3 linked regions of the Struthio camelus genome follow. Each later gene encodes a partner of the first gene's protein in a complex. Links are inferred from orthologs where the notes say so. Each region holds a gene or a part of one and is shown in the gene's direction. Other genes may lie near its edges.

Evidence for each region.
Region 2: SNRPD2 (region 1) and SNIP1 share a complex: the UniProt entries of both Homo sapiens proteins name them as parts of the minor spliceosome. The link is inferred for Struthio camelus from reciprocal best matches to the Homo sapiens genes SNRPD2 and SNIP1.
Region 3: SNRPD2 (region 1) and LSM6 share a complex: the UniProt entries of both Homo sapiens proteins name them as parts of the U4/U6-U5 tri-snRNP complex. The link is inferred for Struthio camelus from reciprocal best matches to the Homo sapiens genes SNRPD2 and LSM6.

Annotation. Positions count from the first base shown.
Region 1 is NC_090957.1:2,000,935-2,008,311, forward strand, and holds the start of SNRPD2 (small nuclear ribonucleoprotein Sm D2), read left to right. Parts: upstream 1-4,372; 5' UTR 4,373-4,500; coding exon 4,501-4,502; intron 4,503-5,663; coding exon 5,664-5,843; intron 5,844-7,377. UniProt on the Homo sapiens protein: Plays a role in pre-mRNA splicing as a core component of the spliceosomal U1, U2, U4 and U5 small nuclear ribonucleoproteins (snRNPs), the building blocks of the spliceosome.
Region 2 is NC_090964.1:10,834,228-10,841,986, reverse strand, and holds the start of SNIP1 (smad nuclear-interacting protein 1), read left to right. Parts: upstream 1-4,742; coding exon 4,743-4,927; intron 4,928-5,018; coding exon 5,019-5,118; intron 5,119-5,778; coding exon 5,779-6,362; intron 6,363-6,988; coding exon 6,989-7,256; 3' UTR 7,257-7,759. Other genes in the region: DNALI1 (axonemal dynein light intermediate polypeptide 1), read right to left, coding at 873-908, 3,251-3,415, 3,689-3,867, 4,054-4,223, 4,299-4,510. UniProt on the Homo sapiens protein: Required for pre-mRNA splicing as component of the spliceosome. As a component of the minor spliceosome, involved in the splicing of U12-type introns in pre-mRNAs. Down-regulates NF-kappa-B signaling by competing with RELA for CREBBP/EP300 binding.
Region 3 is NC_090945.1:34,991,129-34,998,130, forward strand, and holds the start of LSM6 (U6 snRNA-associated Sm-like protein LSm6), read left to right. Parts: upstream 1-3,985; 5' UTR 3,986-4,115; exon of another isoform or gene 4,116-4,281; intron 4,282-5,699; 5' UTR 5,700-5,710; coding exon 5,711-5,804; intron 5,805-7,002. UniProt on the Homo sapiens protein: Plays a role in pre-mRNA splicing as component of the U4/U6-U5 tri-snRNP complex that is involved in spliceosome assembly, and as component of the precatalytic spliceosome (spliceosome B complex).

The DNA of each region.
Region 1 (7,377 bases):
GTGCATGAGCGTGTGCGTTAGGGTGTCCGTTAGCGTGTGCGTTAGCGTGTGCGGGGGCGGGGTGGCCGGCCCGGCCCCGGCGCCTCCGTGCGCTCCCGTGTGCGTGCGGGAACGGGCTGTTCCTGTCCCTGGCGCCGGGCCCGGCCGGGGGCCCCGCGGGGGGGCGGGGCCATGCTAATGCATGCAAATGAGGGGCGGCCCCCGCGGGGGGGCTGGGAGCAGCCCCGGCGGCGCAGCCCCCGGCTCTAACTGGGACCAGTCCCAGCCTCTAACTGGGACCAGTCTGGGCTCCACCTGGGACCAGTCTAAGCTCTAACTGGGACCAGTCCCAGCCTCTAACTGGGACCAGTCCGGGCTCTAACTGGTTTTGTCCCCGGACTCCTGGGTCCTTCCCCCCCTCCCCACCGGGGGGGGGTGCGGCGGGGGGAGGGGCCCGGACGCCTGGGCTCCTTCCCCTCTCTGCCCTTGGGAGAGCAGCTTCCCTCCCCCCCCCCCACCCGGCCCGGACGCCTGGGTCCCCTCCCGGTGGGGGGAGGGGTGGAGGGGTCTATGGGGCGGGCCCGGACGCCTGGGTCCCTGCCAGGTTCGGAGAAGGGGGGGGGAGGATGTGGCCCGGACGCCTGGGCCCCTTCTTGGTGGGGGGGGTCCTGAATGCCTGCGCCCTCTTTTTGGGGGGGAGGGTCCCGGACACCTGGGCCCCTTATTGGGGGGGGGTCCCGGACGCTTGGGTCCCTTTTTGGGGGGTGTCCCGGATGCCTGGGTCCCCTCTTAGTGGGGGGGGGGTTGCCCAGATGCCTGGGCCCCTGCCAGGTTTGGAGGGGTGTGGCCCGGACGCCTGGGCCCCTTCTTGGTTGGGGGGGGGGTCCGGCCGCCTGGGTCCCTGCCACGTTTTGGGGGGGGTGTGGCCCGGCTGCCTGGGTCCCCTTCTTGGTGTGTGTGGGGGTCCCGGACGCCTGGGCCCCTGCCAAGTTTGGGGGGGTGTGGCCCGGACGCCTGGGCCCCTTCTTGGTGGGGAGGGGGTCCCGGACGCCTGGGCCCCCTTTTAGGGGGGGTGGGGGGTGTCCCGGACGCCTGGGGCCCTGCCAGCTTCGGGGGCGGGGGTATGGCCCGGACACCTGGGTCCCTTCTTGGTGGGGGGGACGCCTGGGTCCCCTTTTGGTGGAGGGGGGTCCCGGACGCCTGGGCCCCTGCCAGCTTTGAGGGGGGTGTGGCCTGGACGCCTGGGTCCCTTCTTGGTGAGGGAGTCCCGGACTCCTGGGCCCCCTCTTGGTGGGGTGGGGGGTGTCCCGGACGCCTGGGCCCCTGCCAGCTTCGGGGGGTGTGGTCCAGACACCTGGGTCCCCTCCTAGTGGGGGATCCCGGACGCCTGGGCCCCTGCCACGTTTGGGGGGGTGTGGCCCAAACATCTGGGTCCTCTTCTTGGTGGTGAAGGGGGTTCCCGGACACCTGGGCCCCCTTTTAAGGGGGGGGGTCCCGGACACCTGGGTCCTTGTTAGGTTTGGGGGGTGTGGCCCGGACGCCTGGGCCCCTTCTTGGTGGGGGGTGTCCTGGACGCCTGGGCCCCTGCCACATTTCGGGGGGGGTGTGGCCCGGACACCTGGCCCCTTCATGGTGGGGGGGGTCCCGGACGCCTGGGTCCTCTCTTAGTGGTGGGGGGGGCCCGGACGCCTGGGCCCCTGCCACGTTTGGGGGGGTGTGGCCCAAACGTCTGGGTGTCCTTCTTGGTGGGGGGGGGTCCCGGACGCATGGGCCCCCTTTTAAGGGGGGGGGTCCCGGACGCCTGGACCCCTTCTTGGTGGGGGGGGACCCGGACGCCTGGGTCCCCTTTTGGGGGGGGTTCCCGGACGTCTTGGTCCCTGCCAACATTTGGGGGGGGTGTGGCCCGGACGCCTGGGCCCTTTCTTGGTGGGGAGGGGGTCCCGGATGCCTGGGCCCCTGTCAGCTTTGGGGAGGGGGGTGTGGCCTGGACGCCTGGGCCCCTTCTTGGTCGGGGGGGGGTGTCCTGGATGCCCGGGCCCCCTTTTGGGGGGGGGGGTCCGCACCTAAGGCCGGTGGGGAACCAAGCAGGGACCCAGGCGTCCGAGGGGCCCAGGCGTCCGGGGGAGGCCCGTGGCCGGCGGGAGGGGGGGGGGTGTCACCGGGCAAGACACGCCGAGGCCACGCGTGACGAGCCCGCGAGGCGGCACGCGCCCGGCCCGGCGCACACGCGTGTGCGACGCCTCGGCCCTGGCGTGGCGCCCGGCCTGGCACCGGCCCCGCGGCCGCCGGCCGGGGAGGGGCTGCCACCGCCGCCGCTCGCACGACGGCGCACGTGGCTCGCACGAGGACACGGCCGGCTCGCACGAGGACACGCGTGACATGCACCAGGACACGCGTGACTCGCACGGGAACCGACCTGGCTCGCACGGGGACACGCGTGACTCGCACCAGGACACATGTGACTCACACAGGGACACGCGTGACTCACACGGGGACCCGCCTGGCTCGCACGGGGACGTGTCCGGCTCGCACCAGGGCACGCCTGGCTCGCACGGGGACATGTGTGACATACACGAGGACATGTGAGACTCGCATGGGGACCCATCTGGCTGACAAGGGGACACGCGTGACTCACACGAGGACACGTATGACTCGCAGAAGGACACGCGTGACTTGCAGAAGGACACGCGTGGCTCACGTGGGGACCAACCTGGCTCGCACGAGGACATGCGTGACTCGCACGAGGACCCGCCTGGCTTGCACGAGGACACGTGTGTCTTGCACGGGGACGCGTGTGTCTCGCACGGGGACACGCGTGCGTCGCACGAGCACCCGTCCGGCTCCCTCGGGGACCCTCGTGCCCCCCCCTCACCCCGGGACGGCCGGTCCCCCACGCCCCGCACACGCGTGGGGGAGGGGGCGGACCCCCCCCGCCCCGGCCCCGCCCCCCTGGCCGCGCTGGCCCCGCCCCCGGCCGCCCAGGCTCCGCCCCCCTCCCCGTACCTGGCCGCCAGCCGCCCGGCCATGGCGCCGCCGCCGCCGCCGCCGCCGCCCTCTGCGCGCCCGCTCCCACCGCGCCGCCGACCCCCGCCCGGCCCCGCCCCCGGCCCCGCCCCCGGCCCCGCCCCCGCACGCCCCCTCCCGCCTCCGGCGGCGCGCCACGCCCCCTGCTCCGCCGCTGCCGGCCACGCCCCCTCCCGCCGCGCGACACGCCCCCCGCTCTACCGCCGGCCCCGCCCCCTCCCTCCCGCCCCGCCCCCATCGCCGGCACACCCCCGTTCCTTGGCCACGCCCCCGAGGCCACGCCCCTCGGACCTCCCCCCGCCCCGCGCCCCGCGCCCCGCTCCGGGCAGCCCCCCTCCCCCCCCCCCAGCACTGTCACCACGGGGCACCCACGGCACCCGCTGCCCCCCCGCACTGCCCCCCCCGCACTGCACTCACTGCCCCCCACTGCACCCCCTGCCCCCCCCGGCCATCCCACTGCCCCCCACACTGCACCCGCTGCCCCCCACATCTCCCACGGCACCCGCTGCCCCCCCGCACTGCACCCCCTGCCTCCCCACCCCGCACTCTGCACTGCCCCCACTGCATCCTCAGCACCCCCGCACTGCCCCCTTGCGCTACCAGCACCCACTGCCTCCCTCGTGGCACCCCACACTGCACCCCTGGCACACACTGCCCCCCACCCCGGACACCCTGCACTGCTCTCCTCCGGGCACCCCCAGCGCCCAGCGCCTCCCAGCACCTTGTTCTGCGCCCGCTGCCTCCCCACGCCCCCTCCCGCTTTGGTACAACTGGGGGGGGGCGGGGGCTCATGTCAGCCTGGGCCCCCCATGAGGTCCGTTTCCAGCCCCCCCATGTCTGTTTCCACTCCCCATGTCTGTTTCCAGCCCCCCCAATGTCCATTTCCAGCACCCCATGTCCGTTTCCAGACCCCCCATGCCTGTTCTCACTCCCCCATACACGTTTCCAGCCCCTTCATGCCCATTCCAGCCCCTATGGCAGTTTCCAGCCCCCCTATGTCCATTTCCACTCCCCATGCCCGTTTCAACCCCCACATCTGTTACCAGCCCCCCATTATCTGTTTCTAGCTCCCTCTGTCCATTTCCAGACTCCCATGTTCGTTTCCAACCCCCCCAAGTCCGTTTCCAGCCCCCCGTGTCCGTTTCCACCCTCCATGTCTGTTTCCAGCCCCCCATGTCCGTTTCCACCCTCCATGTCTGTTTCCAGCCCCCCATGTCCGTTTCCAGCCTCCCCATGTCCGTTTCCAGCCCCCTCCGGGCAGTTTCTCGCCCCCCCCAGCGCTGCCGCCGTGGCCGCGCGCGGCCCCGCCTCTTTTGGCCGCTCCGCCCTGCCGTAGCGGCGGCTCTTCCCTCCCCCCTCCCCGCTCCCGGCGCGCATGCGCAGCGCCCTCTTTCCCCCCGCGAGTGCGCCGTGACCCCGGAAGTAGCTCCTGGGCGCCCCGGAAGTGGATCCGTGCGGGCGGCGCGCGGGAGCGGGAGACGCGCGAGGGGAGCCGCCATGTGAGGGGGGAGCGGGAGCGGGGGGGAACCGGGAGCGGGGGGGGGGACTGAGAGAACCGGGGGCGGGGGGGGAACCGGGGGCGGGGGGAACTCAGAGAACTGGGAATGGGGGGAACGAGAACAGGGGGGAACCGGGGACGGGGGGGGACCGGGGCCGGGGGGGGACCGGGGACAGGGGGAATGGGAACGGGGGGGAACCGGGAACGGGGGGGAACCGGGGATGGGGGGGAACTGAGAAAACTGTGGATGGGGAGAACAGGAACAGGGGGGAACCGGGGCCGGGGGGGGGGAACCGGGGCCGGGAGGAACTGAGAGAACCGGGGATGGGGGGGGGGAACGGGAACAGGGGGGAACCGGGGAAACCGGGGATGGGGGGAACCGGGAGCGGGGGGGGGGGGAACCGAGGACGGGTGGGAACTGGGAGAACCGGGAGCCGGGGGGAACCGGGGATGGGGGGGAACTGGGGGTACGGGTGACGGGGGGGGGAACTGGGAGAATCGGGGACGGGGGCAACGGGAACAGGGGGGAACTGGGGATGGGGGGGAACTGGGGACGGGGGGAATGGGAACGGGGGGGGGAACCGGGGCCGGGGGGAGGGGGAACTGGGAGAACTGGGGATGGGGGGGAACCGGGGACAGGGGGAATGGGAACAGGGGGGAACCGGGAATGGGGGGGAACTGGCAGCGGGGGGAACCAGGGATGGGGGAGAAATGGGAGGACCGGGGATGAGGGGAAACTGGGAGGACCGGAAACGGGGGGAACCGAGAGCATGGGGGATCCGGGAATGGGGGGAACGGGGAACTGGGAGTGGGGGGGAACTGGGGGAGGGGGAACTGGGAACAGGAGGGAACAGGAACGGGGGAGGGGGGCCAGGAACAGGGAAGACCGGAAACGGGGAGGACTGGTAAGAGGGGAGAACCAGGGACGGTGGGAACCGGGAGCAGGGAGGGGACCAGGTCTGGGCTCCCCCCTCTCCCCAATGTCCCCGCTCCCCGTTGTCCCCCCCCTCCCAGTGCCCCCCTCATGCCCTTGCGCCCACTCCTGCGTCCCCCCGGGCGCGTCTTCCCTGCTGTCCTGTTCCCCCCGTCCTCTGTTTCCCCCCCCCCTCCCCCCATGCCGGTGTCCCCAACCCTGGGGTGACCCGGCGGGGTGACGCCGCAGGTCGCTGCTCAACAAGCCCAAGAGCGAGATGACGCCGGAGGAGCTGCAGAAGCGCGAGGAGGAGGAGTTCAACACGGGGCCCCTCTCCGTCCTCACCCAGTCCGTCAAGAACAACACCCAGGTGCTCATCAACTGCCGCAACAACAAGAAGCTCCTGGGGCGCGTCAAGGCCTTCGACAGGTCCGTGTCACCCACCCCCCGGTGTCCCCAAACCCACCCCGGCGTCCCTAAATTCCCCTGGGGCCCTCTGTGTTCCCGAATCCCCCTCCTGCCACCCCAAAGTTGTCCCCGTTGTCCCCAAATCCCACCCCGGCCTCCTTAAATCCTTCTGGAGCCCTCCGTGTTCCCAAATCCCCTTCCTGCCACCCCAAAGTCCCCCCCAGTGTCCCCAAATTCTTCCCCGATGTCCCCAAATGCCCCCCTGGAGTCCTCTGTGTTCCCAAATCCCCCTCTTGCCACCCCAAAGTTATCCTTGGTGTCCCCAAATCCCACCCTGACCCCCCCAAATCTTGCCCTAGAGGCCTCTGTGTTCCCAAATCCTCCTCCTGCCACCCCAAAGTCGTCCCTGTTGTCCCTAAATCCCACCCCAGCCTCCTTAAATCCCTCTGGAGCCCTCCGTGTTCCCAAATCCCCTCCTGCCACCCCAAAGTTGTCCCCGTTGTCCCCAAATCCTTCCCTGGCATCCCCAAATGCCCCCCTGGAGCCCTCTGTGTTCCCAAATCCCCCTCCTGCCACCCCAAAGTCCCCCCAGTGTCCCCAAATTCTTCAGTGCTCCCCATTGTCCCCCCAAAACCTCCCATGACCCCACTACCCCCCTGAGGACCCCAGTGTCCCCCCAAATGCGCCTCGCATCCCCAAATCCCCCCCGGTGTCCCCCAAATCCCCCTGGAGCCTCCCCCGGTTCCCAAATCCCCCTGCCACCTCCCCACAGTGTTCCCCGGTGTCCCCAAAACCTCACGGGAGCCTGGTGTCCCCCAGGAATCCCAATGTCACCAAAATTCCCCCCCACCCCCAGTGTCCTCACGTGCCCCTGGAGCTCTCCATATTCCCCCAATCCGCCTCCTGCCACCCCAAAGTTGTCCCCGTTGTCCCCATATCCTGCCCCAACGTCCCCAAATGCCCCCCTGGAGCCCTCTGTGTTCCCAAATCCTCCTCCTGCCACCCCAAAGTCCCCCCCAGTGTCCCCAAATACTTCCCCGACGTCCCCAAATGCCCCCTGCAGCCCTCCGTGTTCCCCAATCCCCCTCCTGCCACCCCAAAGTCCCCCCCAGTGTCCCAAATCCCACCCTGGTGCCCCCAAATCCTGCCCCAGCATCCCCGAAATCCACCCTGGCTTCCCCAAATCCCCCTCTGTGTTCCCAAATCCCCCTCCTGCCACACCAAAGTTGTCCCCCGTGTCCCCAAATCACCTCTGTGTCCCCAAATTCCCCTGGAGCCCTCCAGGTTCCCAAATCCTCCTCCTGGTGGCCCAAAGTGCTCCCCAGTGTCCCCCCCAAAACCTCCCAGCACCCCAGTGTCCCCCCTGAGGACCTCAGTGTCCCCCAAATGCCCCGGGTGTCTCCAAATCCCCCCTAGTGTCCCCAAAATTCCTCCTGGCACCCCCCCAGGTTCCCAAATCCCCCTTTTGCCTCCCCAATATCCTCCCCAGTGTCCCCAAAGTCCCCCCCGGGAACCCTGCTGTCCACAAATTCCTCCCTCTTTCCCAAAGTCCCTC
Region 2 (7,759 bases), on another chromosome or scaffold:
CCTAACTATTGTATTTAATTTTGAGATGTTGAACAGTGTTCCTATTACCAGGCATTAAAAGAAAGTTTCACAGTGAAGTTGTAAGCACGTGCCTGCTTATTGCAGTGTGGATCCAAAAGTATCTAGCTTGCAAGTACCATCTCTAATTTATATATCCTTAGTACTGATGTCTACTAAGGGCAGCAGGATTGCAATGAGAGTGGAAGATTATGGTCAGCTTTTGCCTTTGTTAAGCAGTATGTGAAGAGCGTAAGATAGTGGGATAGAGAGCCCAAATGAGAAAAAGCAACCTAATAAAAGGCCTGCAATTTTGTTACGCAACAAAGGTTGGTTTTTATCCTCCTATCTCCTCTCAAAAACATATTTGACTCAGATAAAAATAAAGTGAGTTGGTTCTTGAATTGTTTGTATGCAGCATGACTAGATGTGCTTCTTAATGACACATCTTAATGAATTCAGACCTACCTTTTTGCTACCTGAATACTTGGTGCTAAAATGATTATATAAAGGATAGTTGTTCTTGCTCTTGTATTAATTATAGACATTTCGTAATTGTTTCTGAAGTTTATACAACATTTTCAAGTTAAGAATTTTACACAGAGGCTTGTATGTGGAAAAAAAAAAAGTTTATTAGTATATTGCTTTGCAGGTTATGTAGCATATTATCAACAGGTATGTCCCAGATAGGCTCACCATTCAAGGAGCTGAATGTTTAGACAGCACTGAAAGGGAGAATTAATACAACTACACTGCCTTCAGTTACTGGTAAGTGAAAATTCAGGGTTGTTTTATGAAGACAGATCTTTTTCACTAATTGCAAACTTCTTGCTTTGACAGTTCTTTTGAGCGCTGCCGGGAGGACAACAAGAAATCTACTTATTTGGTGCAATGATGCTTTCAAGTTGAGCCTGAAAACAAATGAGACAGTAAGTTAAATTAGCCTTAATCTAAAAAATAAACCCACATTGCTGAAAAGCGATAAATTGTCTGTTATGTATTCAAAGTGAGCAGCTGAGGGATGCTGCAATACTTCAAGAGAAATAGGCTAGGGTTTTTTCCTCTGGTTATTTCATTTCTTACTACATGTTTTATAAATTAACTTTTCATTCTTGGCATGCACACTTGTTGCCTTCTGAGAAGAAAAGAGCTGGCCTTGGTTCCATACAATGAAAGACTCATTTTATAATGTAAAGCATTGAAAAGGAAATTAAATAAAAGCTGTTGAAACAGTGGTCTGAGTTCTCTGATTTCAGGCTAGACTATGTTCGCTAAATTAAATGTTTGGCTCTTTACAGTCTGGAACACAAGCTCTGACTCTGGGACAAAAGGAACTGGGAACAGCAAGTTTTTCAGTTACTGAGACAACTTGATGCCCAATTAGTAGATTGATCAGCGAGCTACCAATGCTTAGGGAGTTTTTGGTATATGAAGCTTCTGGGACTTGCAGATTGTCCTCTTCATATTGCTGCCATCAAAATAAACTCCAGTTTTGGTGTGTGTGTGTGTGTGTGTATATATATATAATATATATATATATAGCTGTTAAAATATTTCTAGTTCAAAGAAGAATAACAGCTTCAGTGGCAACACGTCTTTAATCTAACAGTTATTCCACTTCATGTCCTAAACAGTTCAAGACGGCTTGAAGATGTTAATGGTTTAGACAAGAAAAACAGTAAGAATGTTAAAGATAAGGAAAGCAGCTGAGTGCAAAGTAAACTTCTAGACAGACAGGTTTAATGTTGTTTCTGATTACGTTTTTTCTTTAATCAAAAGCTGATTTTTTTTTCCCCCAACAGCAAAGAAATCTGTCTTTGTCAAACTGAAGGTGTCTTGGCTGCTGAGTAGTAGCATGCACAAAATTACTTCTGTCCTATGCAAATCAATTTCAGTGATCCAGTCAAGAGCACCATAGGACAAATTGCTTCACCATTGTCCATGGTAGCATGTTAGCAACCAACAGGTGAACAGGACACATACTTTTACCTACAATATAGTAATCACACTTTAAATGTTTAGAAGCTTAGAAACCCAGGCAATAGTGTGTGCTTGCCCTTAGGTTTTGCTATTGTCTGTAGCTCGGTTATGTGAGATGTAGATTGGAAGTTTTGAGGAAAATATGACAACAGTGCCACCAAGTTTCCCTGGGGGATTTGATCCTATGGCTAAATAGTTTTATTAGAAAAATGTATAAGAAGTTAAATCCATACTACAAATGCGCACTTGGTTCTCTTGTAACTATTCCAGACTGTACTAAAGTTCACGCTGTCTTTAGATTTGCAACAAATACATCTATTAAAGAGCTTCTCAAACACCTTTCGGGGGTGCCTCTGATCCCTAAATACAAAGAGTAGATCAGTAACTGATAATTCAACGTTTGTTTTCCAGGCCAGGTAGCGTAGTTAAAATCTGCTATAGTAGAGTCTGCCCACTGTATATGAAATAACTGACACCTTATGATGAGGACTAGCATCCGTAAGGGAAGAAAGAGAATGCTACTTCTCCCACAGAGATGAAAATAAAATAACCAAATACATGTTTTAAGGATGTAAGCCACAGATTAGTCTTGTGCCTTTTTTTTTTAGTTGACCTCTCTACCTAGGGTTGGAAAAGTGGTAACTTACCTTGTTTATAAATCAAGGAAAGTGGAATGTTAAATTACAATACATAAGCACAGGGCTTAGGCACCCTCTCAGTGATGCCTGAGCTTTTGGTAGTACAGTGTATCTCATGTAAGCTTTGAGGCAAGGATAAAAGAAAAAAGTCTCTGTTGCATATAATACACAATTGCTCTTATTAGGCAATGTTTAATTTTAAATGGTGTCTCTTCTTATCAGGGAGTAAACTTAGCTGCTCTGGCCAACAGCAAAGAAACAAAACTTTCTTCATTTGTCTTTATTAAGTTTTCTTTTTTGTAGCTGAAAAGGGATGGCAGCTACAACAACCTTAAAATCAAGTTATGCATAAATAGATTCCAGGGGCGTCAAATTTGAAGTCTATATTTGGGGTTCATCTGTGTGCGTCTGCTAACTGACCATAAGGATTTAGCATTATCAGAACAAACTGTGATATCCCTGTGGCAAATTTGTATATAACTAGAGCCCAATGAATCTGACCTGCTGTTTGGATGATCAGTTTTACTCATGATGACTAATTACTGACGGAGCAAGGAAGTAAAGTATGCAGAAGAGCATTTTTCCTATTTCACTGAGAATTCAAAGGTGGAACATGAATACAAATGCATCCTAACCTTCAGCTGCTGATTTGTTCGTTTCAGGAACTGGACCTCTTCACTGTGTTTCTTTTCCTCTATCTGTCGCCTTTCATTTTCACGTTTTTCAATAGCTTCACATTTAGCTTTCTGTTCAGTCACTTGCTTTTCCAGCTCCCGCTTTTCTTCCTCTAGCTCTGCAATCTTGGAAAAGAGTATAGATTGCTCAAATCGTGTTTGTTAATAAGCAATTTCCAATTAAGACAGGTTCAAGTTTTATGTTGTACAGTACAATAGGTAGAACAGATAAATTTATGGAGTACAATTAAGCCCTACAGTAAGGTAAGTATCTTGATGGTCTTTACTGCCATCCAGTGGAAGTAGAAATACCTGATTTTATATAAAATTTTGTACGTGAAATCGTTACGCTTTATCACATGCAGAAAGCTACCTTACGAGGTTGACAGCCCAACTCACTCTTTTCTCCATGTCAGATTTGCCTTGCTCAGCTTGCAGTGCCTTCCGCATGCCGAAGGCAACGCTGCTCTCATACAGAGTCTGATAAGCAGCAATCGTCATTTGGATTTCATCTCGGACTCGAAGCAGCAACAGCCCTCGCTCTGCACAGTTAATCGTCGTTTCGCGGATCAGTTCATCTTTAAACAACAGGCACAAAAGCACAGTTAAGGCAGTAGGTGCGTTGGCTTGGGGAGGCCGGCCCCCCGCGCCGGCCGCCGCTGGCTGCCCGGCAGCCGCAGAGCGCCACGGCTGGCTGTCGGCGGCGCGGCCGGGGCCGGGGCAGAGGGCGAGGCGGCGGCGGCGGCCGGCGCGGCGGCACTGACCGAAGCACTGCGCGTAGAGCTGGCGGCGCACGGGGCACAGGCCGGTCTCCCGCGCCTGCCGCTGCCGCAGCCGCAGGTCCAGCTGCTCCTGCAGGCGCACCACGTCGGCGCGGGTGCTGGGGGCGCCCGACACCTCCTGCACCCAGAGCCGGCCGTCCTCCGCCCACTCCCTGCACCGGAGAGCACGGCCGTCAGCGCCGCCGCCGCCGGGCCGCGCCCGCCCGCCGCCCCTCGCCGCCCCTCACCGCGGCGGCAGGATGGCGTTCAGCACCTCCCGCGCCGGCTCGGCGGCCGCGCCGGGCCGCGGCGGCGGCGGGCGGCCCCCGGTGGGCGGGCGCGGCGGCGGGGCGGGGGCGGAGGCGCCGCCGCCGTCCGCCCGGGGCCCGGGGCGCTCCGCCCGGCGGCTGACCAGCACCGGCGGGTCGTAGCGCAGCAGCGAGTCCGGCGGCGGGATCATGGCGGCCGCTCGCCGCGCGCGCCGCTGTCGCCATGGCGACGGCGCGTCGCGGCGGGGGGGGGGAGCGGGCGGGCGCGCTGCGCGTGCGCGGGAGCCCAGCAGGCTGCGCGCACGCGCAGGAGAAGGGCGGCGCGGCGCCGGCCTCCCCCCACCCGGCCCCGGCGGAAGTACTTCCGGGTGGCGGCGCGCGAGGCGGAAGCGGCCGCACTTCCCTTCGCGCGGCGGCGGCGCCATGGAGGCGGCGGCGGCCGAGCGGCGGCGGGAGCGGCGGCGGCGGGCGGCGGTGAAGGCCGAGAAGCGGAGCCCGCGGCGCTCCGGCTCCCGCTCCCGCTCCGCGCGGGGCAGCCAGTCGCCGCCGGCCGAGGAGCGGCGGGGCCCGGCCGGGCCGCACCGGGGCGGCAGGAGCAGGAGCAGCAGGTAGGGCCGCCCCGGCGGCGGCGTCGCGCCCGGGCCTCGGCCTCCCGCTTTGCTCCCGTGCCCTCACCCCCCCCCCCCACTGTCCTTAAAGGTCGCCCAAAAGGAAGGAGAAAGCGTCGGGCAGGAGAAGCAAGTCCCCCCGGAGCAGGAGGAGCCGGAGCCCCCATCACGTCGCAGTCAAAGTCAAGCAGGTAAATCGCCTCGGTGCTGCCGCCGGGGCCTGACCCTGCCGCGGGTCTGGGGGGCCAGCGCTCCCGGGGAGGCGATGCTAGGGCCCTGTGCGCTGCACTGCCTCCCGGAAAGAGAGAGAGAGAGAGTGAGCCTCCTCTGGCAAAATTCATCCGTGGAAGGCAGGAAAAATAGTTCCTGACTTACTTTCTTTTAGTTGTTGTCATGTCTAATTTAAAAAAAAGTTTTACAGGTTCAATATCTGTTGCTATCCACTTCAAACTCTGTCCTGAGCAATTGAGTGTTCATATGGGCGTGTTGTGAATTTACCACTTGTGCGGACTGTTCCTGCAAGCTGCTTGCTTTGCCCGGAATACTGTTGATATCTGAAAGTCAAGTACAAGCCCCTTTAGCTTTCAGTTGTCTCTTCAAGCATCTTATTCTGTGGAAGGATGGCAGGTCTGTCTCTCTTTTTTAAGCTTGTGTTACTCATTGTAATCGTGGGAATCCAAATAGTTCAGCAAGAAAATAGTTTTTTACTACTTTATGTTAGATCAATACACAAGACTTTTGAGTCCTTGTTTTTCATGTGTTAGATTGTGATTTTTTTTTTCTTTAAAGTAGATTCCTTTCTCTTTTCTTCTAATTCTAAATAGACCACTATAAGAGATTATTCATTACAGGAACGAGATGATCATTGTCACAGAGGAAATGAAGAACGAAAGCAGAGAAACCCATCAGAACAAGAACACAGGCGAGATAGAAGTGGTGAGAGAGAAAGACACAGAGATCACTCGGACAGAAGGAAAAATCCTAATGAAAGGCCTGGAGGCCGAGGCCACGAGCGAGAAAGGGATGTTCAGAACATTCGTGAGCAGCAAGCAGAGAGGGAGTTCTATAATGAGAGAAGACGAGAGCACCGACAAAAGAATGAAGTGAGTGGTATTAACCAGAATCCAGAACTCGGGCAATCTGATAATAAACCTAAAGATCCTGTAAAAAAAGAAAAGCCAAGTTTTGAACTGTCTGGTGCGCTTCTGGAAGATGCCAACACTTTCCGAGGTGTTGTGATTAAGTACAGCGAGCCCCCAGAAGCTCGGATACCAAAGAAACGATGGCGCCTCTATCCTTTTAAAAATGATGAGTTCCTTCCAGTCATGTACATTCACAGACAGAGCGCTTATCTCCTGGGCAGGCATCGCAGAATAGCAGATATTCCTATTGACCATCCCTCCTGCTCAAAGCAACATGCTGTCTTTCAGTATCGGTAAGTATTATTCTCTGTGCCTGCTGGTGAAACAGAAGTATTCTGAAACTTGTATTTATAAACAAACAAACAAAAAAACCCCAAAACAGAGTTTAGAAGTGTTAGTTTGCTGTAAGTGTCTCATGTCAGAGATAGCTGGAATTCACATATGGCTGCTGTACGTTCTCTTAGCAGTAATCAAAAATACTTGAAACTTCTCCCATTTAACCACAAGCAGTCTTCCTGTAAGACAAATAACATAGCAGGACTAAATGCAGAATTGGATGTATATCTGAATTGGAATAAACGCTCTCAGGTGTAATTAGCGGTAAAAATATTTTGCAACCAAGATTGCTGCTATCCTTTTGAAGCAGCAAGGATTGTATGCTGCTGAAGACAGAGCTGCTCTCAAGGAACAGCCATCTGTTCGGTGTTACAAATTACTGTATTATATCACCATAAGTTTTAGAAGGTGATGCAGTCTTTCAGAATCTCATCCCGAGTGCCTCCTTACACTCATTATGCTTGCTTAAATTTTTGAAAATACAGAACGTTTTGAAAACTCCATCTACTTCTAGAGTGGCTGCATAAATGGGAATTTTGTGTCTGTCTTGTTATGATTGAAATAGTGCTTTTTGTTTTGCCAGGCTTGTGGAGTACACCCGTGCTGATGGTACAGTTGGCCGCAGAGTAAGGCCTTATATAATTGACCTTGGTTCTGGCAATGGTACTTTTCTAAATAACCAGCGGATTGAACCTCAACGTTACTATGAACTGAAAGAAAAGGATGTGTTGAAATTTGGGTTCAGTAGCAGGGAATATGTTCTTCTCCATGAATCTTCAGATAAATCTGAGGCAAACACAAAGGACGATGATGAGGAGGAGGACGAGAAGGAGGAAGAGTCTGACAGTTAACAGATCAGGAGGAAATTGGGGGGGTGAAAAAAAATCTTTGCAGTAGAACGTGCATTGGGATGTAAACATTGGCGCATCGAAGCACTGATGCCTCTTATTGCCTTAAAGTCCTTCTTCTGTTGCTGGTCTGTTCTTGTAGCTTATTTTGGGGACTTAATCATCTTGGATAGTTCTGCTTATCAGGAAATTCAGCTTTTTCTAAGCTAATTTCCCCTGACAAAGAAAAAAGAGCACCTGGATGTGAAAGCTGTGGTGCTGGAAATATTCAACAGATGTTGGAAGGCTATCCCCTTCTAGTAAATGATGTAAAACACAGTGGGCATATTTAAAATTATTTTTATGAACTGTTTTGTCATAATCCTTTGAAAATGCTACTTAACTGAAAAATAAGGTAGAAACTAGCTGATATATTTTGTCTTATTTGGTAGGATTTGCCGAATTTGTATGCCTGTTAAGAAATCTAGACAGGAGAATTTACCAAGTTTCATTACTAAAGAGGCAGA
Region 3 (7,002 bases), on another chromosome or scaffold:
AGACTTTTTTTTCTTTCTAATCTAAGGAGGTACCAAATCTGATTGTTAAAATCTGGGCAAAAGCCATGATTTTGACCAGAGTAGGTTTGTCCTCTGTGACCTAATTTTCAGATGACAATTGTTTACTACGTCTTCTTTTATCATCCACTGGATTACAGCCTGGGATTACTTAGGTCGAATTCAAAGTCGGCCACAGACATTCTTTTGCCATCTGGATTGTTGTTCATCTGCATTTAACTTATGTAAGGTTCTCTTCACAAGAACTAGAAGAGCTGGACAATCTTTTTAACATATTGTGTTATATAGCCATCTTGCTCTATGGAAATATTTTTATTTCAAGTAGCTGGGAAAGAAAAACCTTCCTAACTTTGAAGCAGTTTTCATTCCATTAAAAAGAAAGAGCGAGACTGTCAAATCCCATTTCATTTTTGAAGTTAACTGTACAGTTTTAATTAGGTCCTCCGAACAAAGATTCTGCAATGCTTCACATTTAAGAGTTAGCAATAGTATACGTTCCACCGACTTCCATCATTAAATTCAGTTGACAAAGGCCAACACAACTCTTTTCTTTGTAACTTTGTAACCATTTATGTTTGAGGTGAAGATGTTAATATGGAAATTTTGTGAGCTGGGAATGACTATGAACTCAATCATTGTAATTTATGACCTTTCATCTAAGGCCAAATGTAAAGGCAACTGCAATTGTTCTATATCTCAAGGCCAGCACATAGCAGATGTATGAAATTTGGAGTGTTAGACATAAACTTTTATTACCAAATTATAAATAATTTCTACCACTTACAATGTTCACCTTTCAAGTTCATCTTGATTAAAACGCAAGGGCAGCATCTCACTGATTTCAGTGAGTTATAAAGCTGAAAAAGCTCTATCGTAGTATACTATGAGAGGATAAAGCAATACGGTATTTAAAGGATTCTACTGATAGCAAACCATGCGAAAACTTAAGATCTAAATCCTTTTCCATCTAGATGACTGAAACAAACAAGTATAGAATTCATGAGTGAGTATAGACCTCATTAGCCAATGAGGTCTTAATTTTATTTTCACTCTTGAAGCTTTGAAATCTTCAGAGATTCCATTGAATGTGGATTACTTAAACCCTTTGAAGACCACCTTCCTGAGGTCATTTTGATTTTGTCATTCAGGAAATATAACATTTTCTGGGTTGCGCATTAACAGATGTTATTACATAATCTTTCCAAATGTACAAGAAAGGAATTTTCCAGGTGCAAATCACACTACACCAAACTGCTCAGAAATATACATCTTATTGCACAAAGGTCAATTCACCACTAAGAGCAGCCTGTGAGATTGTTTCAAAACTTAAAGCAAACCACAGAAAATTAGGATTTGGGTTCCTGACTTGACCTCAAGCCATGAATGAGGGGAGTTAAGGATACAAAACTCTTACCAAACTCAATTCTCGTGACTTAAAATAGGCATGTTTATAAGCTTAATAAGGTACCAAGTAGGAAATTGCAAAGATTTTGCTGACTGGCACCAAACAACAAAAATATCCATATACACACAAGCTATAGCTACTACCTAACCTAACTAGAAAGCAGCCTGTTAGGCAGCAGGTAAAACAGCTCAGCAGAGACTAGCAAAAAGGAAATGCAAGCTGCAAAGAAAAATCTGTCAGAAGTAAAACAAAAAAGGAAGGCTCCTAAATCACAAAATATGCCTAGCCAGACTTGCAAAATTGTTATGAAAATTTACCAGCCCAGGCATGAAATCTAGTTGCCCAGTCTTTATCACAGAGATCAATAATAATGAAAAACAGGATACTTTCTCATCAAAATATTATGCACTGAAGCCTGGTGGCCAAATTAAACTTTGTAAGCCTGCTCCCTGTAGTAACTATTTTAGGTTCCTTTTCTGCTTCAAGTACTAGATATAATCAAGCACAGTTGGATGCTCCTGATTAATATGATGGTTGCCCGGCAACACGGTCACAATGTGGCCCTACTTTCCTAACTATGACTGTTCTTGAACTCTAGGACAGTAAGGTGAACTTTATTGGGTCTGCAGACCTTGCCTTTTACAGCCCTTTAGCCTAAGCTTTTGGGAAAAAAAAAAAAAGAAATGTTACCAAACGCGTTAAAAAAGAGAACATAAAACAATTCTAGAAGCAAGAGAGGAAGACATTTACTAATGCATGCTCTGAAAAGCCATAGTGTATTTTCTTTGTATCACGAGAATTAATAGTTTTACTAAGATATTAAATCAATAATGGAAGAATAAAAAATCCAGTTCAGAGGCTTTCACAGATAAATTAACTCCTGTCATGGTACTAAATCCCTAAAAAAGAAAGGACTTCCCAGACATTATGGTGATAGCTGGGGGAAAGGGGAGAAGATAGGTGAGGAGAGAAGTAGAAGACAGAAGTTTGACTTCTCGTTTTGTCATATTCTATTCAGGCAACACTGGAAAACATCACTTAGTTTCTACATTCATTAATTCACCTGTAAAATGTATTGAACAACACTTTCCTATCTAGAGTTTTTGTAAGGATCCCTACACCGAAATCTAATAAGGCCTATGTAGGACAAGATCGTTTGGGAATAAATGGAATCTCATTATAGTAGAACAGAATTATATACTGGATCATATCATTTTCCCATAAGAAATCAATGAGACATTACTTTCTGGTATAAATATGAGCAAGACATAAAAAATGCATCTACATTAACAAATCAGAATTTAGGTAATAAAGTATCAGTAGATTCTAAAGGTGAATCACTTGCAGAACATTCAGATAGATTTTGGAGGAGTTTTACGAGAAATCAATAACGCCTTTGCATTGTCATAATTCTAAAACAGATGAGACTTATGGCCTTTAATAAGACAGAATTTCTCATAATATAAAACATAAATGGAGTAATCTATTAAAATAACCTCAGATTTAAGAAGTTTCCTCCTGTAGCCTGAGTTACTTTCAACCGATCATGAAAAAGACACAGACTGGAGTTCTGATAATTGGGCCCCCCATGCCCCTGTTCAGGTTCATGCATTAGTCTGTGTTAATGAAAGAAGCAAAAATTACAATCACAGTTAAAGGGGAAGGAGAAGTGAGAACTATTACAGGTTATTTTCTGGTAGGCTTTTTTTGTATGAGAGTTGAAGGTGCGGACATCTTACGATGAAGCTTTTAGGGTCCCTTCTTAAAACAGCTCAGATCAGAAGGTAGGAAACTTTGTCTTTCAGTGTTGTGCAAGAACAACTTGAAACGTGCCCAAGATTCCACTTTTCATCATGCTTTGGAAAAATGCAAAGAGGGTCATTACCACTTCAGCTTTCCAGGTCACAGGACTGACATATATCACGAGCAGGAGTGACGACGTAGCTAGAGAAAAATGAAGTTCTGTGTATTTGGACAAACTAGACAGAGGGGAGACAACAGACAGCGGGTATCCTTGCTCATCCAGTGATGACCAACTGCCTTCTGTATCGACCTTTGCATCTGTAGTTTTGTGAAAGCAACTCTGATTATTCAAAAAACGTAATAGGAAAAACACTATAACCAATGGCCCTTTACAGTATTTTCTTGGGAGTGTTTAAAAAAAAAAAATAGTTACTATTGGGTGCTAGCAACTAACCTGGCACAGCTAGAAATAGGTTCCTCCAAAGTAAGTCTGAGGCACGTAGCAGCCTAAGAGGCCTGCACGCTCGGTCCCTGTACCGCAAAGAGAGGAGTTCAACTTTCAGCGTCGCCAAACCTGCTCACGATACGCTGGTCGTAAACAGGTCTGGTTTCCCAGCGCTTGGGACGCTCGTCTCGGACGCTGCCAGCATAGGAAAGGGCAGAGCCGGCCGCGTTTCCCAAGGGCTAACGGCTAACTAACGGTCAACGGCCAGGGCTCAACGGTCAGCGGGGGGGGAAGAGGGGCACAGGTGAAAGGGCGCCGGGCGGCGGGCCTGCCCGCCCGAGGAGGCGCCGCCTCCCCCCACGCCTCCCGGCCGCGCCTACCGTCGCCTTGCCAAACGCGCTCTCGAGCCGGGCGCGTTTTGTCCCGGCCGCCGCGCCGTAGCGGGGCGGTGTTGATCGGCCTCGAGCAGCGGGAAGGGGCGGCGGCAGCGGCGGCGCGCGGCGGGTGAGTGGAGCGGTCGTTGGGAGCCGCGGCTGTTGGAGCCCCCCCCCCCCCCCCCCGGGCGGCTCCACCGGGCACCTCGACCGGGCACCTCGGGGTCGCGGAGCTGGGCCGGGCGCTGACGGGTGTCTCCCCTCAGAGCAGCGTAGCGAGGCAGCGAGCTTATTCGGTAAATAAAGCGGCCCGGGAGGGTTTTTTTTTTTTTCCATCGGCACGGCAAAACGCGTGCGCAAACGTGCGCTCAGGGTTTTTTCCCCCCCTTTCTTTCTTCCCCGTTACGTCCACGCAGAATTTTGTTATTTCCTCTTTTCCCCGTCCTCTTCGCCGCCGTTAGAGCAGGAGCTGGGAACCCGGCTGGGTGCACCCAGCCGTGTGTTTTGGAGGGGGGAGGGTGATGGGAGGTATGGTGCCAGACAGTTGTTTTAGGTGTTCTGCCTTTGACAAGCGCGTGGCTGTAAAGCTTCACATTGCATTTAGCGTTTCTGTCATAAACCTTTCTTTAGAAATACTTCCCGTTGTGTATATGCTGTCGAAGTATATTTTGGTGCTATTCTAGTTGTTTTTAAACACACATAAAAGCAGCAAGTAAAAGCAAAAACTGTGAATCCATAGCATAGGTAAATTGGTAAGTCTAGTGAAAGCAGATCTTGCCCAGTTCTGTTCCTATTCAGGCAGTGTACCTGTACAGTATAAGCTATTTCAGAGCATGTTCGTGCTTTCTCAGAAAACTATGTTATGCAAACAAGTCTTACGCTGTAAATATCACGTGTGAAACCGTAAGATGTATGTTAGTACAAAGTGATTAAAAGTCTCAAAATCCTTGTATTGATGAAATATCAAGCAGCAAAAGGTTGACATAGTAATGATGCCAACGCATCATTAGCAGTATTTTCTACAATTAATTTAAAATGCAGAATAGCTGTTACTTAGGCAAAATGACTTAAAATAACATTAAAACAGAAGGAAGCAATACTGAGTTAGGGCCTCCTACCAAACTTGGCTTGTATGTAGTGCCATGAATTTTTAAACCACAGCATTCTTTCAGGTTTTTGCACAAGTTAATTACAGTGCTTAATTCTAAACTTAGTATAATCTAATTGAGTTTTTTGAAGTCATCCTTTCTAATGTATTCTTTGCTCATGTTGGTGTTACTGAGATCAAAATCCCTTTTCTTGTTTCAGCCCAGACTTCTGTATGTAGAGCATGTACTGGCTTCCTCTCCATCCTCCTCCCTGCCCAGATAGGAACCAGTTACTAATTATTCAGTGATTTTTAGTAAATCTATTTCAGCAAAGAGAAGTTGAGGCTTTTGGCTACATTGGAAGTTTGCAAGAGGCACAGCATGGTAAATAATTTTAAATCAAGGATTCCTGTCAAGAATTTCAGGAGTTATACAAATGTCAAATAGAAAGTTTAACGCTATAGCTCTAGGAACTGTCCTTCCTTCTATCTCGTTTGATATTTTCTCTTACTGAGAGTCTTGAGAATCAGGAGAGTGCCTGTCTGCATTGAGTGTTTAAAGTCTACTTTTGAGTGTGTTACTTATCCAAATGCTTCTTCTCCCTTCTTCTCTTCCCGACCTACCAGGGAAGATAAAGATGAGTCTACGGAAGCAAACCCCTAGTGACTTTCTAAAGCAAATCATTGGACGGCCAGTTGTTGTAAAATTAAATTCTGGAGTTGATTATCGAGGTAAGTTCTCCCTCTGTTTCCCATACATCATAAGTCTATGATTTCATTGTCTGTGGAGGCTGGAACAGATGCAGTGCTTTGTAAAAGCAAGCAGTTTGACCCAAAATCTTGGAGTACATGAATGTAGATCTCAGAATGATAAGAAAAAGATCAGTTCTGGAGAAACAAATGAAAAAGAGGTAGATCTAGAAATTAAAATGACTTATCTAAATCATTAGCGTCTTTAGTCACAGATGATTAGACTGAAGTCTGGAGATGATTCCAAGTTTCTAAACTGAAATTGGTTTGAATTACAATTCCTGAAATTCCCAGGCAGTGCTCTTTCCAGTTCTCTGCTAGCCTCCTTGGTTAAAACCACCTTTTTCCTTCACCTTCCAGTTCTCCAACTCCTTGTATAGCTTGGTCCAGAAGAGCATTGAACAGTAAACTGCTTACCAAACTGCTGAACAGTCATAAGCCTACCTTTACAGCAGAGATGAAATGGAGTTATTTAGTTCTTAGTTAAACAACTGCCTAGACTTGTGTTGCATCAATACTCATCTCAATGAGGAGAAAGCTTTTTTTGTTTGACTTCTGCTCCTATATTTCCAGTGTGTTTCAAAGCAATCCAGCAGTTTTAGTCCAATACTTTTCAGCCCATTTGTAAATCTTCCTGAGCTGTATGTAGGATTACAGTTTTCCTAAGTAGTAAATAGAACTTCGCTGTTCAGTGAAGTGTCCTACTCCTTTTAGGATAAGACTGTCAGGTTGTCAGATTGTTTTAGTAGGATTCAAGATTACATGAAAAGTTTTGGTTTATCTCCTCTTCAACACAAGCTAGGCATTTTATTAGGGAATGATTTAAATGTTATGGACCTGCTACAGATCACTGCTTCAGAGATTTAATTCAGTTGGCTTCAGTTGGCCTTCTGATCCCTTCTGGTTCCTCTTTAGTGTCCCTCTCTGGCAACGATGTTAGCAATCTGTCATTTCTTTGAGAACTACATGTTCTGAGCACTTCTGAATGGGATCTTTGCCTGAAAAACTTCACTGCTTCTTGTCGGTCTTTGGCCCTTGTAAATTTTTTCTTGCAAGAGATTGTAGTAACAGCTGATTAAAGTCAATTAAAGCAAGTCATCATTTGCTTAAAAGTACACAGCATGCAGGGCTAAACTTGGTTTAGTTTTTGCATACACTATTTTCTTTATGAACTATTTTC